2 linked regions of the Pelodiscus sinensis genome follow. Each later gene encodes a partner of the first gene's protein in a complex. Links are inferred from orthologs where the notes say so. Each region holds a gene or a part of one and is shown in the gene's direction. Other genes may lie near its edges.

Evidence for each region. Proteins that work in one complex are often made in the same cells at the same time.
Region 2: the proteins of ATP8B1 (region 1) and TMEM30A are in contact, whole or in part, in a cryo-EM structure (PDB 7VGI), measured with the Homo sapiens proteins. The link is inferred for Pelodiscus sinensis from reciprocal best matches to the Homo sapiens genes ATP8B1 and TMEM30A. Residues at the interface, in NP_001361314.1 of Homo sapiens: Thr138, His359, Trp362, Glu363, Val366, Ser369, Ser370, Trp371, Tyr372, Leu373, Tyr374, Asp375, Gly376, Arg384, Ile388, Phe418, Asn420, Trp421, Asp422, Leu423, Tyr426, Lys430, Asp431, Thr432, Pro433, His939, Trp942, Arg946, Tyr968, Phe971; in NP_060717.1 of Homo sapiens: Lys24, Thr25, Arg26, Arg27, Pro28, Asn30, Phe33, Lys34, Gln35, Gln36, Arg37, Leu38, Pro39, Ala40, Trp41, Gln42, Pro43, Ile44, Leu45, Thr46, Ala47, Val50, Phe54, Ile57, Phe61, Ile64, Ile68, Ile75, Phe119, Tyr121.

The regions. Positions count from the first base shown.
Region 1 is NC_134716.1:110,413,899-110,421,037, forward strand, and holds the start of ATP8B1 (phospholipid-transporting ATPase IC), read left to right. Parts: upstream 1-4,087; 5' UTR 4,088-4,583; intron 4,584-7,139. UniProt on the Homo sapiens protein: Catalytic component of a P4-ATPase flippase complex which catalyzes the hydrolysis of ATP coupled to the transport of phospholipids, in particular phosphatidylcholines (PC), from the outer to the inner leaflet of the plasma membrane.
Region 2 is NC_134713.1:55,346,919-55,353,880, reverse strand, and holds the start of TMEM30A (cell cycle control protein 50A), read left to right. Parts: upstream 1-3,916; 5' UTR 3,917-4,130; coding exon 4,131-4,388; intron 4,389-6,962. UniProt on the Homo sapiens protein: Accessory component of a P4-ATPase flippase complex which catalyzes the hydrolysis of ATP coupled to the transport of aminophospholipids from the outer to the inner leaflet of various membranes and ensures the maintenance of asymmetric distribution of phospholipids.

The DNA.
Region 1 (7,139 bases):
CGAGACCAAATTGCTCACAGCCAATTCCAGAAAGCTTCACTACTGACATTCACCAGAAACAACTGACTCTATTCTTCACTATCTGTCCTTCCAGGTCTCAAACTCTCTCTCAGCAGACATACAACTTTTCCCTCCTCACTGACATATTTCCCTCATTGAGGAAATTGAAAAGCAGTAGAACATCACCACACTGCCCTTTGCTCACATATTATTGTTCAGCTACTAGTTCATTACCACATTGATCACCTCATTATAAAAGGGAGAAACTGAAAGTCACAAATTTTAACACAGATAAAGGGATTTTTTTAAAAAAAATTAACATAATTAACGTGTGGATCTTATTGCCACAAACCATCATTGGGGCCAAAAGTTTCAGATAATTAGGATTTGGATTAGCTGTTTTGATGGATAAAGACAACTGAGAACATCCATAGTTACATTGTATAGGCTACATACATATTAGAAACACCAGGCATAACCCAAACACAGACAGAAAGGGGTTAGGAAACTTCCCCCTAAGTTTTTCCTTAATTGTCTGCTATGGATTTTCTAGCACCTTCTTCTGAAACATCCTTAACTGATTGGGTTCAGTTGATTGATTATTGGGTTCAGTTAAACAAAACACATTTATTCATTCACTTGGCATTACTTCTCCAAATGTCTTCTTTATTATTTATGTATTTATTTTGGTAGCAACCACTGTATGCTAGGTTCTTTCCAAATACTTCTATGCCTTGTTTTTAACTTTATTTTATCACTTACTACTCCTCATCCCTTTTATCCTACTATATTTTCTACTCTCAACATTCTGTCTCCTCATCATCATCATCTTGTTTCTATTTCTGCACTCATTTTCATTTTCACAAATTTCTACGTTCCATCATATCATTTTCTGAATTTTCTTCTATCTTTCTGATGACAGTTCCATGCCATGTCCTCTGATCACTGGAAATGGTTACAGAAAACATGGGATTGTGGAATAAAATCCAGACTCTAGCAACTGATGAATCTCTAGCAATGGAAACAGCATAATGTTTCATAAGGAAGTTAAGCAAATTTTGTTGAAATGAGTATGAATAAATTTGGTAACAAAAATAATTGCTAGTGCACTGAGTCATCAGAAACCACTGCAAACAAGATACCAGATGACTTATCAAAACTTAGTGTCAGCAAATACTTTGACATGTTGGGGGGAAAACAATAGTGCTATAAGTACCTATCATGTAAATGGTGGACTAGAAGTGTGAGTGGGATTATCTATTTACAGTAAAGGTTTAATATTTATTTTATCATTGTGGCCTTTGTGTAGTTTTGATCTTGTTTTTACTTCAGCGTAAGAAGATCTTGTAAACACCTTGGAGCAGAAACTGTATTTGTTTCTATACCGTATTGAACATACTGTTGGCACTTAAATAATTACATGATAATTATAGTTAACACATTCTCATTATCCTATCTGTTATGTATCTTAGGTAGCATGTAAAACAGGAGTGGGAAGCCTAAGGCCCAGGGGCCGGATGCGGCTCACCTGGATCTGGACCCCGGGGCTCAGCGCTCTTCCCCAGCAGTGGGGAGTCTGTGTTTGGTGTTCTAGGACCCTCCCCCCCCCCCCCCCCGCCAACTCCCTGTGGAGCTGGAGCACATGAGGTTCCAGTGTGCGAGGGGAATGTGGGAAGTATCTTTCTCCTTCTCAGTCAGGGGCCACATCAGTGAGGTTGTGGGGTTTTTTTTCAGGTTGTTGGTTTTTTGCCTTCTCACTTGTGTGCAGCCTCTGACTAATTTTTCTGTGGATCAATGGTCCCCTGAACCAAAAAAGGTTCCGCTACCCCCAATGTAAAATGTACACTTCCCATCATTGTATGTGTTTGTATTAATGTGGATTTAGTACAGCACTTATATTAGAGAGCACTTATTGAGTGCCTCTATTATTCTTAAAGTCTAAATAAGAAGTTTGTTGGTAAGGGGCTCTTACCTGAGTATTTCCTGGAAGAACGGCAAGGTAGGTGAGGTAATCTCTTTCACTGACTCAGTATATGCTGGTGAAAGAGAGAAGCTTTTACCTACAGAGACCTCTTCTTTAGGCCACCTTGGAAGCATGTGTAACATTATTTCCGGACATGCTGACCTGCAGATTAAACAATATGAAAGTGCCTTAGGCTGTCAAATTTAGGGTCAGGGACATCACTAGCTGGGTTCTCAAAAGGATTTAGTACCCAAGACCTCCCACTGAATTCTTATGAAAGTCTTTTGCTATAAATTTACTCTCGGTACTTTTTGTCTGTTTCATTTAAGGAATCTGCATTCTCTTTTCAAAATGTTTTATGTTTAACTTCAGAATTCATCCAAAACAAAGAATACCTGAAAACAGAGCAAGAAAGAGTTGCAAGTGAATAAACAAACTATTCACAACACACTCGCAGAATTGCCAACCCCCAGAGTAATGCCAGTACAAAACAATTGGCACCCCAATTGTCCAAAAACCGTAAGTCAGACCCCTCCAATTGTCTTAAACATAACATATTGGAGACTCTTTTTTTTGCAGATTGAGTCTTTAAGGTACCTATAGTTTATTTACAAACTTTCTTCACAACTACAAAAACTAGAAACTTTTTTGTAATGAAATCTAAATCCCATATAATTACAAGAAAAACACCAAATATGGCAAGGTTCACAATAAAATAATTCACAGCACTATATTCAGGATCTAACTGAACACAATTGAGCTCCATCTCGGTTGCAAAAGACATTTTGTTTCAGCCTTTAAGATCTCCAAAATTTGTTATAAGTGGGTTAAACTGTTTATTAGCCCAATAAAGGCTTTCAAAATGAAAACAACAAAAAAAATTAAAATGTGTGTCTTTTTTTCTTTTAGCTTCTTTGATGGAGGACTCTAGTGAGATTGTGACATCATCAAAAGCAACGAGGAAGTGCCATCTAACTAATTGTGAAAGGAAGTGAATTTTAAACAGGTTATTTAAAAATGGAGTACAGTTTTGATAGTTATTTAATATCTATCAGATATGTGAAGTATTTATATGGTTCCTATCACAGCAATCTTTGAGCAGCTAAACATCTTTAATCACAACATACCTTTTAATGTAGCTGAAACAAAATACAGGACTATGTAGCACTTTAAAGACTAACAAGATGGTTATTAGGTGATGAGCTTTCATGGGCCAGACCCACTTCCTCAGATCAAATAGTGGAAAAAATATGGTTGTGACAATTTTCTTCCACTATTTGATCTGAGGAAGTGAGTCTGGCCCACGAAAGCTCATCACCTAATAAACCATCTTGTTAGTCTTTAAAGTGCTACATAGTCCTGTATTTTGTTTCAGCTACAACAGACTAACACCGCTACATTTCTATCACTTTTAATGTAGGGAAGTCTTTCAGGAAAAAAAAAGTAAGGAAGACCAGGTTTGATATTTCTAAGGGGAAAAAACCAGGTAAGTAAAATATTTTGAAAAAATAATTCCAGAGCTATTGAAACCATTATAGAAAAGCAAAATACCCACAATTCTTTCTGTTTCTTCTTTGCATGCCCCTTTAACATTCAAATTTCTGATACCAGGACACAACCGAGTTGTATTTTTGGCTCAGCCAACACTCTGCTTTTTGCCAAAACCATTTTCAAGAAGGGTGCTTTTGAAGAGAAAGATTACAATTTTCAGGCTGTACAGGATTGGGGCTAATATCAAACGGATGTAGCTCTTCACACGTTTCACTGGATCTGAAACCTGAAGGACCTTTAAAAAAAAAAAAGCCTAAAACAAAACAACCCCTCGCTTCTTTCCCCGCAGATAATTAGATGCAAATGTAAAAAACCAAACCAAAACAAAACCTTGGGAAAGAGAGAGCCCGGGGTTTAGTTCCCCTTCTTTCAAAGAGAAACAAAAACCAGGCAGCTCCCACCTACAAGAAAGTCCCGAATGAGGTAACTGAGACAGGTGGAGGGAGTGGGGTACACAAAGATGAGTAAATGCCTCGGATGATTCTGGCGCTGTCCGGATTTCTAACCAAGCAGGGCTCAAGGCCAGGCTGAGCGCGGCTGAGAACCTTGAGGCACAGACAATAAGGTGGGCCCAGGAGGAGCGGGCATGGCTCTACCTAGCTGCTAGCGCCGCTCTCCAGGGGGAGCGCTCCCAGCGTGTAACCCGAGCGCAGGCCGCTCCCCTGGCTACGGGGCTGGGGAAAGGGGGATGTCTCCTGCCCCGGTGGCCGCTGTTAGTACCTGGGAGTCACGTGGGCTGTCCCCGGGCTAGGGGAAGGGCTTAGTGAGGGCAGCTGCGGCAGAGGTGGGTTCCCCCTCCACCCCGCCAAGGGAGGATGAGTCCCAAGGAGTAAGCCACCCCCGCCACACACCTTCAGCCGGCGCTCACCTTCCTGCGCGCGGCCAGGCACCTTGTGCAGAGTTGAGGAACTCGTTTGGCCGGTGCTGAGCCCGCTTGCCAAGCGAGGCGGGGAGCCGCGCGCCATTGGAGGGCTGGGGAGAGCAGCTGGCGTGCAGCAAGCGGGGCGAGCGTGCAAGGTGTAGGGCGGGAAGCTGCCCCGAGCGGCCGGGGCCCGAGTTCCAGCGAGAGGTGAGGGGGCTGCGGAGGCGGGGCGCTGCGCGTCTCGCACCGGGGCTGGAGGGGGTGTGGGTAGCTTGGGGGGCAGGCGCGGCGGCTCGCCAGGCGGGGTGCGGGGCGTGAGGACCGAGCCCCCGGGGGAGAGGGGAAGGCGGTTCTCCCCGAGCCCACAGCAGCTGTGCGCTCCGGAGCACGCTCCGCCTGAGCACCTGGCCCTGCTCCTGCCGCCCCAGAGCTCCACCCCGGGCGAGTGGCTCTAACTTTCCTAGAGCTCCTGCGGGGTTCGCTTCCTAGGTGCTGCAGCACCTCCCTGGATTGGAGCGATTCCCAGGCGGGGTCACTGTTTGGTTCCAGGGCTCTCCGCATCCCTGGCTGCCTTCCCCGAGTGCTGTTCCCGTTGGCTTGCCCGGACCTGAGACAGCCAAGGCAGGAGTGCCAGGGAAAGGCTGGAGGCTCCCAGGCCAAGCGGTGGCTCTGCTTGATTCCCTAACTGAACTTTAGAGCCGCGCAGCCCACCGCGAGAGAAAAGCCAAACTGGTTCTGGTAGCTCTTTGACAGGAATCCAAACAGGTCCCAGCCAGATTCAAGGTGCAAGGGCTGTCCCCCTTCAGCGTTTATCTCTCTCTCCAGACATGTGCGCTAGTTATCTACATCTCCCAGATTTCTGTAACTAAGGTACAGAGGATGTCTGGAGGCCATTCATAAACTAAACTAGATATTTAACGTTACATAATAGTTAACTAACCTAAAAGGGTGTTACAGGGAAGAGGGAGAAAAATTGTTTTCCTTGACGGCTGATGATAGGATAAGAAGCAATGGGCTTAAACTGCAGCAAGGGAGCAAGGTTGGATACCAGGAAAAACTTCTTAACTGTCAGGATGGTTAAACGCTGGAATAAATTGCCTAGGGAGGTTGTGGAATCTTCTTCACTGGAGATATTTAAGAGCAAGTTAGATCTGTAGCTATCAGGGATGATATAGACCCTTTTTGGTGCTGCTGTGAGGGCAGGGGACTGGACTTGAAGACTTACAATTCTAGTATTCTATTGACTTACTCTCAAGATCACTTACATTTCTAGTATTCTATTATTGTATTGTATTAATAGAGCTTGTATAGTGTAATGCCAAAATATCTATTTTTTCCCTGGGTGTAATTCACTAATCTCCTCCAGTGCGCGCACAGACCTGCGTGATTGGGTAAATGACCAGTACACCTGCCAGTTCTGATTCATTTTCAGAATGATCACATTTTAAAGTAAACATTAACTCAATGGAGAAGCGCACTGCATTGATATGTTGCCTAAGTGGAGGAGGAAATGAAATAAAAAAAAAAAAAGCAAAACTGGTGTTTGTTTTCAAATGTCTTTTCAATCCCGTCTGCCTGCACAATAGAGAAATGAACGTCATTCTCCTCCCTGTACTGGGTGGACAAAGGCAAATTATGATGCAACTGCTTTGACTCCAGAATTTGTTGTTTGTATGTAACTGTATATGCTCCATTACATTTTATTTTATTTTTTTAAAGACTCTCTACTTCTTGAGCTCATTGTAATAACTTTTCATTTTCTTTTAATATGAAAAGGATTGCCTGATTCCATTGTGACTGCAGCAATTTTGATCTGCACAACTTTATATAAAGCACAACAACATAACAAAGGAAGAAAATGCTACAGGATATTAATTCCTATGTCGACTAAGCGATTGTTTTCTTCCTTTTTATTCACTTAAGGAAATGAGAAATCCCGGAGTGACGATGTTTAATATTTTGACCAAATGTAAAGGTTATATAAAGGCTTACACATTATATGAATTTCAGGCTAAGCCAGCGATGAGAAGCCTAGACTAGTGAATGGGCAGCATATTGTTGTAACTAAGATGGTCTCCTGGGATAGGGTAGTTTGCTAACTGCGCTTGTATTCCTAGAATTTGCAGGATGTTCCAGTTAAACCATAGCAGCACTTTGACTGGATGTAGAGGAAGCTCACAGTCAATGTTGTATGCAGTTAGCCCATGTGTCTTTGGTTTATGTGCATGTCACTTCAGTAATACAAGTAAGGAAAAAACCTACCCAGCCAGCGGGATCTGGCAACTCTGTGCATAGGTAACGGTAAACATAAGGTCTCACAGGCCACACACAGAACCTGAGGGACCACAGGTAGCCCTGAGGTGGCAGGTTGCCCACCACTGGGCTAAGTCATATTCTCTAATAAAATAACTATATTACATTATCAAATAATTAGTTTCACAGGAGGGGAGTCATTTTTTTAATTGAATCTCTTAGTAGGGTTCATGTAACTTTTCTGTGGGTCACAAGTGTAGTGTATTTCACTTACGTACAAACAGTTTTTATTAGTGGTATTTTAAGTGTCAACAGTGTAATTTTGTGCTGTACAGCCATAGGCAGATAGTCCCTACCTAGAAGACTTTACAATACAGTGAATGTAGAAATGGAAGTTCAAACTCTAATGATAATAGCAGCTCTTCACTATATTTTAGGGAGTGTTTAATAAATGATTGGTGCATCCTACTTGTGATGGTGGGGCGATCTGAAGAAAACATTGACTGCTGT
Region 2 (6,962 bases), on another chromosome or scaffold:
GGACATTTCTTGTTGATCTTAGTCTCTGGTCTTTATATGGGAATCTTACCTCACTGAAGTGTATTTGTAAGGTTTAATTAAGGTCTCTAAAAGTTTGACAAAAAGCACTATAAAAATGCCAAATTCTAGTAATTGTATTAAAATTACCTATATTTCCAATTATATAATAGCAAATGTTTTGCTCTTTTCTCTTAGAGAGTGTCATCATTCATCAGTTACGCATGAACTCTAGATGAGATACAATACGCAATGCATTCTGTATGTGTGCACTTCCTCTCCACACCAGTTGGATGGATCACTGTTGATGCCCTCTACCACTGTCACCATGGTCTCCTGTGCTACTGATCACTTACAGAAGTATTTTAGAACTTCTTTGGATTATTCTGAATTATTTGTAGAGTTTTTAAAAGTAATGGCCTTGTTGATACTTTGAAAATATGTAGAGAAAAACAGTCAAGGTGTCAACTGAATGTTACTCTTATTTTGCAAAACATGAGGCACCTGCTTGATTTTGTTTGGTGGTGTTTGCTATATAATTTATTTTTATAAAACACATTAATGTAACTTTCCCCAAACCTTCCAATTGCTACTGTCCATTGCACATTAATTTGTAGAATACACTGTCAAAATTCTCTGTATTGATATTTTTGTATTAAAGACAGTAAAAAAAAAGTTAAGTTTTAATCCCAAAAGTGCTTTAAAAAAACACAAAAAAAGTGTGAAACACATTTTCCTGTCATTAGACTGAGAGACTAAATGCTCACGGGACTGCCATATAGGGTATACTGTTATAGAATTTTTCTTGCACTGTGCAGAGGTTCAACATAAAAATGAGTGCTAACAAACCAAAGCTCTGGACTACTATCTGATTTTAAAGATTCATTTTAAACATTGTAAACAAGTTTTCATGAACCTTGATGATGATTATTTTACAATGTGTTTTTACTTCTGCCTGTACTGAAAAAAATCAATTTTCATCACACTGTAACAAATAAATTTTCACAAGAATGCAAATGTAACCAAGTGTTTGGATTGTGACACAAGTGCCGTAAGGCTGACAGTATTGAAGTTCACCTTTTTCGTTTTACTTTATAGAAATTGCTACTGCTAAAAAAAAAAAAAAAAAGAAATTGCGTGGTTTTTGTAGTTACCTTCTTTAGGCTGGTATTTCATTACAATATCACAGTGTATACTACATGCATAATAAAACTGATCCAGAGATTATCAAAGCTCTGAAGAAAGATAATCATCTGGCAAAATTAATGATGACATTGTTTCTACCTTTGAGTTTATACCATCAACTATCACAATACAATCTCCTTATATAGATTTAAAGACAGCCAAACGATCATATAACAAGATTTCATGTATGCCACTGTAAAATGAACTTAAATTTTACATCAGTGGCCCTTTGATGATTAATACAGCAATCTAAAGAATCATAATGAAAATTCAGTGGCAGCTACATTTAAAATGAATTATAGATATGAATACATAATCTGTATATCATCCCTCATGCTATTTATTTTTTTAATAAATTAATTTTATTTTAAATTTTCCCCATATTTCAGATTTTTTTATTGTTAGAGTATAATGGTAGCGTAAAGTGATTGAGGAAACTGGAACATTGGGCTGCTGAATAGGGACTACTGGGTTTCTTGTCACTTGGGGATCTGGTTTGAGATTTTGAGTCAAGCATATTAATGGGTTTTTTTGCTAAAATGCTCAGAAGTGAAATAGCTAGCAATTACACCTTAGTAAATGTAAACATCTCACTGGGCTTTTCAGCAGCAGATAATGGAGCAGTAGTCATTCAGATAATCTTTTCAAGGTTATTGTACAACCATTGAAGCTGGATTTCTTGCCGTTTTTTTAAAGGAAAAACTTTATTCTGGTACACGATTCTGCTGGGAGTGAGAAAAGGAGGATTCTGCAGCATAAGCTGCAGAATAAGACAGAGATGCATATGGGAAAGTTATGACATCCTGAAATTACACAGTATATTTCAATTTCCTTACACAGAGCTGAAGAAATATTAACTTCCAGTGTAAAACAGCAATAAGAATCAGACCCATACATGTGTCATTGATTTCTATCAAGTTACACCAGCACAAAATTGGAATTAACATAGTGGTGAACCAAGCCCATTGTCTTAAAGACACATTACTTGTTGTCAATGAATAATCATCTGAGGTAAGAACTAATTTGACTTAATCTGTCACAAACCTGACAGCTTTTTGAAAAATACAGCAGCACTACTGAAATAGTTCTGTTTTAATAGTAGTTTTAACTTTCTGTTGGGTAAAACTTTTATCTGGGTTTAAAAACAGTATAAAAATATCAACTGAGTGGAGGCACTCTAGCTCTGTGCTGGAGCTTGAGGGCTGTGGCCCAGGGACCGTGGCTAGGGGCAGAATTTCTCTCTGCTCTTAGGATGTAATGAGGGGGCGGGGAGTGCAATGGGGCTGTGGATGGAGCGGGGCAGGGACATGGGGGGAAAGGACAGAATGGAGTGGTGCCATGGGCAGGCATAACAAGAGTGGGACTGCAAGTAAAAGGAGGGGGAAAATCTCTCCCCCCCCCCACCCCGGCCCAGCCATCCAGCAGCCCTATTCCGCTTCTAACCAGATCGACCTTGGGCAGCTCACACAGGCACAAAGCGAGATTCAGTCCTACGCATGCATGCACACACACCCTAACGTGTCTGTGCATCTGCACAGGGCAACCACTGCCATTCCTAATGCAGTGTAATATAAGAATAGCCATACTGGGTCCATCTAACCCAGCAGCCTGTCTGATTACAATGGCCAATACCAGATGCCCCAGAAAGAGTGAACATAACTGGTAATCATCATGATCCCTCAGTCAGGGGTGGCCTGTCCATATAGGTGAACTAGGCGGTCGCCTAGGGTGCCAAGTTATATGGGGTGCCAAATGGTGGTGCAATATTGTTGAGGGGTTTGGAGATGGGGGCGCCGATTGCATGGTTCGCCTAGGGTGCCTGTTGCTGGCAGCTAGACTAGGGCCGCCCTTGATCCCTCTCATGAAATCCATTTCCAAACAGAGGCTAAGGACGCCATTCCTACCCATCCTGGCTAATAGCCCTTGATGGACTTAACCGCCATGAATTTTAACCTTCATGAATTCTAGCTCTTTTCTGAATCCTGTTAAAATCCGTGGCTACGTCTACACTGGCCCCTTTTCCGGAAGGGGCATGTAAATTTCACCAGTCGTCGTAGGGAAATCCGCGGGGGATTTAAATATCCCCCGCGGCATTTAAATAAAAATGTCCGCCGCTTTTTTCCGGCTTTTAAAAAAGCCGGAAAAGAGCGTCTAGACTGGCCCCGATCCTCCGGAAAATGTGCCCTTTTCCGGAGGGTCTTATTCCTACTTTTTCCGGAGGATCGGGGCCAGTGTAGACGCTCTTTTCCGGCTTTTTTAAAAGCCGGAAAAAAGCGGCGGACATTTTTATTTAAATGCCGCGGGGGATATTTAAATCCCCCGCGGATTTCCCTACGACGACTGGTGAAATTTACATGCCCCTTCCGGAAAAGGGGCAGTGTAGATGTAGCCCTAGTCTTCACAACATCCTTTGGCAAGTAGTTCCACAGGTGGGCAGTACAGGACACAGCGTGCCACAACCTACTGACACGTGCAGCGCAGTCACGTGCAGCCTCCCACTGGAGCGAATGTCCCCACCGGGAAGGGAGGAGAGATTCCGCGTGCCTGAGAGTATCTCCAGCACGCTGCTCCTGCCAACTACGCTTCCAGCAGTCGCTCGCGCTCTCTGTGCGCATGCGCTGTTTTGGCTCATGGGCAGGGAGTGCCGGCTGTGCCGGAAGCAGGGACCATGGAACCTATCGTCATTGATTGTGCGCCCCAGATCCAAGCCCCAGCCTCGCCCATTGCGGCGACGCATGCGCAGGTTTATGGGGGGTGGACGGAAGTTGTCCTCGGTCACCCGGCGGTGAGGGGAGCTGGTGACGTTTGGTTGTTGTCAGTGGCTCCGCGGCTGCGGAACTGTCCCCTTCTCCGCGCGCAGGCGCAGTTCTCTCCCACTCGTCCCTGGCCCGAGCGGAGGCGGCCCCGGTTCCCGAGCGGAGCGCCGTCTGCTCCCCCTCCTCAGCCCCATGGCGGTGAACTACAACGCGAAGGAGGAGGCGGACGGGCACCCGTCGGGAGTGGGGGCCGCGGGCGGCGGGCCCGGCGGCGGGGCGGGGAAGAGCCGCAAGCCGGATAACACGGCCTTCAAGCAGCAGCGCCTGCCGGCCTGGCAGCCCATCCTGACCGCGGGCACCGTGCTGCCCGCCTTCTTCATCATCGGCCTCATCTTCATCCCCATCGGCATCGGCATCTTCGTCACCTCCAACAACATCCGCGAGTACGAGGTGAGGGCCGGGCGGGGCGCGGCCTCTTGAGGCCGTTACGGGCCCTGGGTCTCCCTGCCCGGGAGAAGGGGGAGAGATGAGACGCGGGGCGGCTTTGCCCTGTGCGGGGAACACTCCCCTACGGCGGGTACCGGCTCTGGGAGGTCGCGGACGATGGCGGGGAGGCCGGTCTGAGCTCACCCTCGTCTCCTGGTGAAACCTGGGCAGAGGCTGAGTGGGGCAATCTCGAGAGCAGGAATTTCGGAAAAGGAAGCCGGACTTTCTAAAACCAAAATGCAGGACAATGTAGCACTTTAAAGACTAACAAGATGGTTTATTAGATGATGAGCTTTCGTGGGCCAGACCCACTTCCTCAGATCAAATAGTGGAAGAAAATAGTCACAACCATATATACCAAAGGATACAATTAAAAAAAATGAACACATATGAAAAGGACAAATCACATTTCAGAACAGGAGAGGGATGTGGGGGGGGGGGGGGGAGAAGGAAGGAAGGTAAGTGTCTGTCAATTGATGATATTAGAGGTGGGGAGAGTGGGATGTCTGTGAGCTAATGGTATTAGAGGTGATAATTGGGGAAGCTATCTTGGTAATGGGTAAGATAGTTGGAGTGTTTGTTCATTCCTTCTCGGAGATTGTCGAATTTTAACATGAATGACAGTTCAGAGGATTCCCTTTCAAGTGCAGATGTAAAAGGTCTTTGTAGCAGAATGTAGGTGGTTAAGTCATTGAGAGAGTGTCCTTTCTGGTTAAAATGGCAAGAAACTGTTTTTTCTTTGTGATCTTGTCTGATATCTGTTTTGTGGGCATTAATCCTTTGGCGAAGTGTCTGAGATGTTTGTCCAATGTACATAGCAGATGGACACTTTCGGCACATGATAGCATAGATTATATTTCTGGATGCGCAGGAATATGTGTTCTTGATCTTATAACTCACTTGGTTAGGTCCAATAATGGTATCAGCAGAATGAATATGTGGACAAAGCTGGCAACGGGGTTTGTTGCAAGGGAAGGTACCAGGGTTGGTATTAGTGTGGTATGTCCTGTGGTTGTTGGTAAGAATCATCTTGAGGTTAGGTGGTTGTCTATAGGAGACTATGGGTCTGTCTCCCAGAGCCTCTTGGAGTATGGTATCCTGTTCCAGTATAGGCTGTAGTTTATTGATAATGTGTTGGACAGGTTTAAGTTGGGGGTTGTAGGTGATGACAAGTGGTGTTCTATTGTTGGTTTTCTTGGGTCTGTCTTGAAGTAGATGGTTTCTAGGTATTCGTCTGGCTCTGTCAATTTGCTTTTTTATTTCTCCGGGTGGGTAGTTGAGGTTTATAAATGCTTGGTAGAGATCCTGAAGCTTCTGGTCTCTGTCAGTGGGATTAGAGCAGATGCGGTTGTATCGAAGGGCTTGGCTATAGACGATGGATCGTGTGGTGTGTTCTGGATGGGAGCTGGAAGCATGTAGGTAACTGTATGAGTCGGTGGGTTTTCTGTAGAGAGTGGTGTCTAATTTTCCATTGTTGAGTTGTACTGTGGTGTCCAGGAAGTGGATCTCTCGTGTAGAATGGTCCAGGCTGAGGTTGATGGTGGGGTGTAGGTTGTTGAAATCTCTGTGGAATATCTCCAGTGTTTCTTGGCCATGCGTCCAGATCATAAAGATGTCATCGATGTACCGTAAGTAGAGAAGGGGTGAAAGGGGACGGGAGTTGAGGAAACGTTCTAGGTCAGCCATAAAGATGTTAGCATACTGTGGGGCTATGCGTGTACCCATGGCTGTGCCGCTGATCTGGAGGTATAAGTTGTTCTCAAACTGGAAATAATTGTGGGTGAGAACAAAGTTACATAAGTCTGCTATCAGGTTGGCAGTAGTGTCCTCTGGGATAGTGTTTCTAATTGCTTGTAATCCGTCTTCATGTGGGATGTTGGTATATAGAGCTTCTACATCCATTCTACATTCTAAAACCAGGCAGACTTCTGGGAAATGCCCTGTAGGGAGCCTGGCTGCGCTGGCCTCAGGTGATGAGGGAGGGAGGGAATGGGAGCTAATGGGTCTCTACCGTCTCTAGTTTACCTTATTATGGTGCATCTCCTATGTCGCTTTCAAGCACACACAGAAAAATTCTTCATCCCTAGCCTGGGCAATAACTGGAAGATCCAATCATCTTTGTGAAGCATCTTTGCGAAGCATCTTTTCCCCCATACCAGGGTCAGGTGAGGTAGCTTTAGGTAGTAAGGCAGTAACCCTATAGGATTACAGAGGTTACAGAAACATAGATTGCTGGTTTGTTCTGCTTTTCCGCTGGACATTGCTAGATCATCCTGTCTTTTCATCCTCTTACGGTTAATGTGGTTTTGGAGGTGAAGAAATGGCTTCTGTAGGAAATGACTCTTGTCAATTTAGTCAAATATCAACATTTTAAAATAACTTGTTCTGAATCTACCACAGTATGTTCTTACCTCCTACTTTAGTCAGTGCAAGAAATAAACATTAGAGATGACCTTGCCTATGAGTATACTCCCTTGATACTGATTTCTCCAGTCTGGTCAGCATACCCTTCAAGATCTGCACCTTGATTTCACTAAT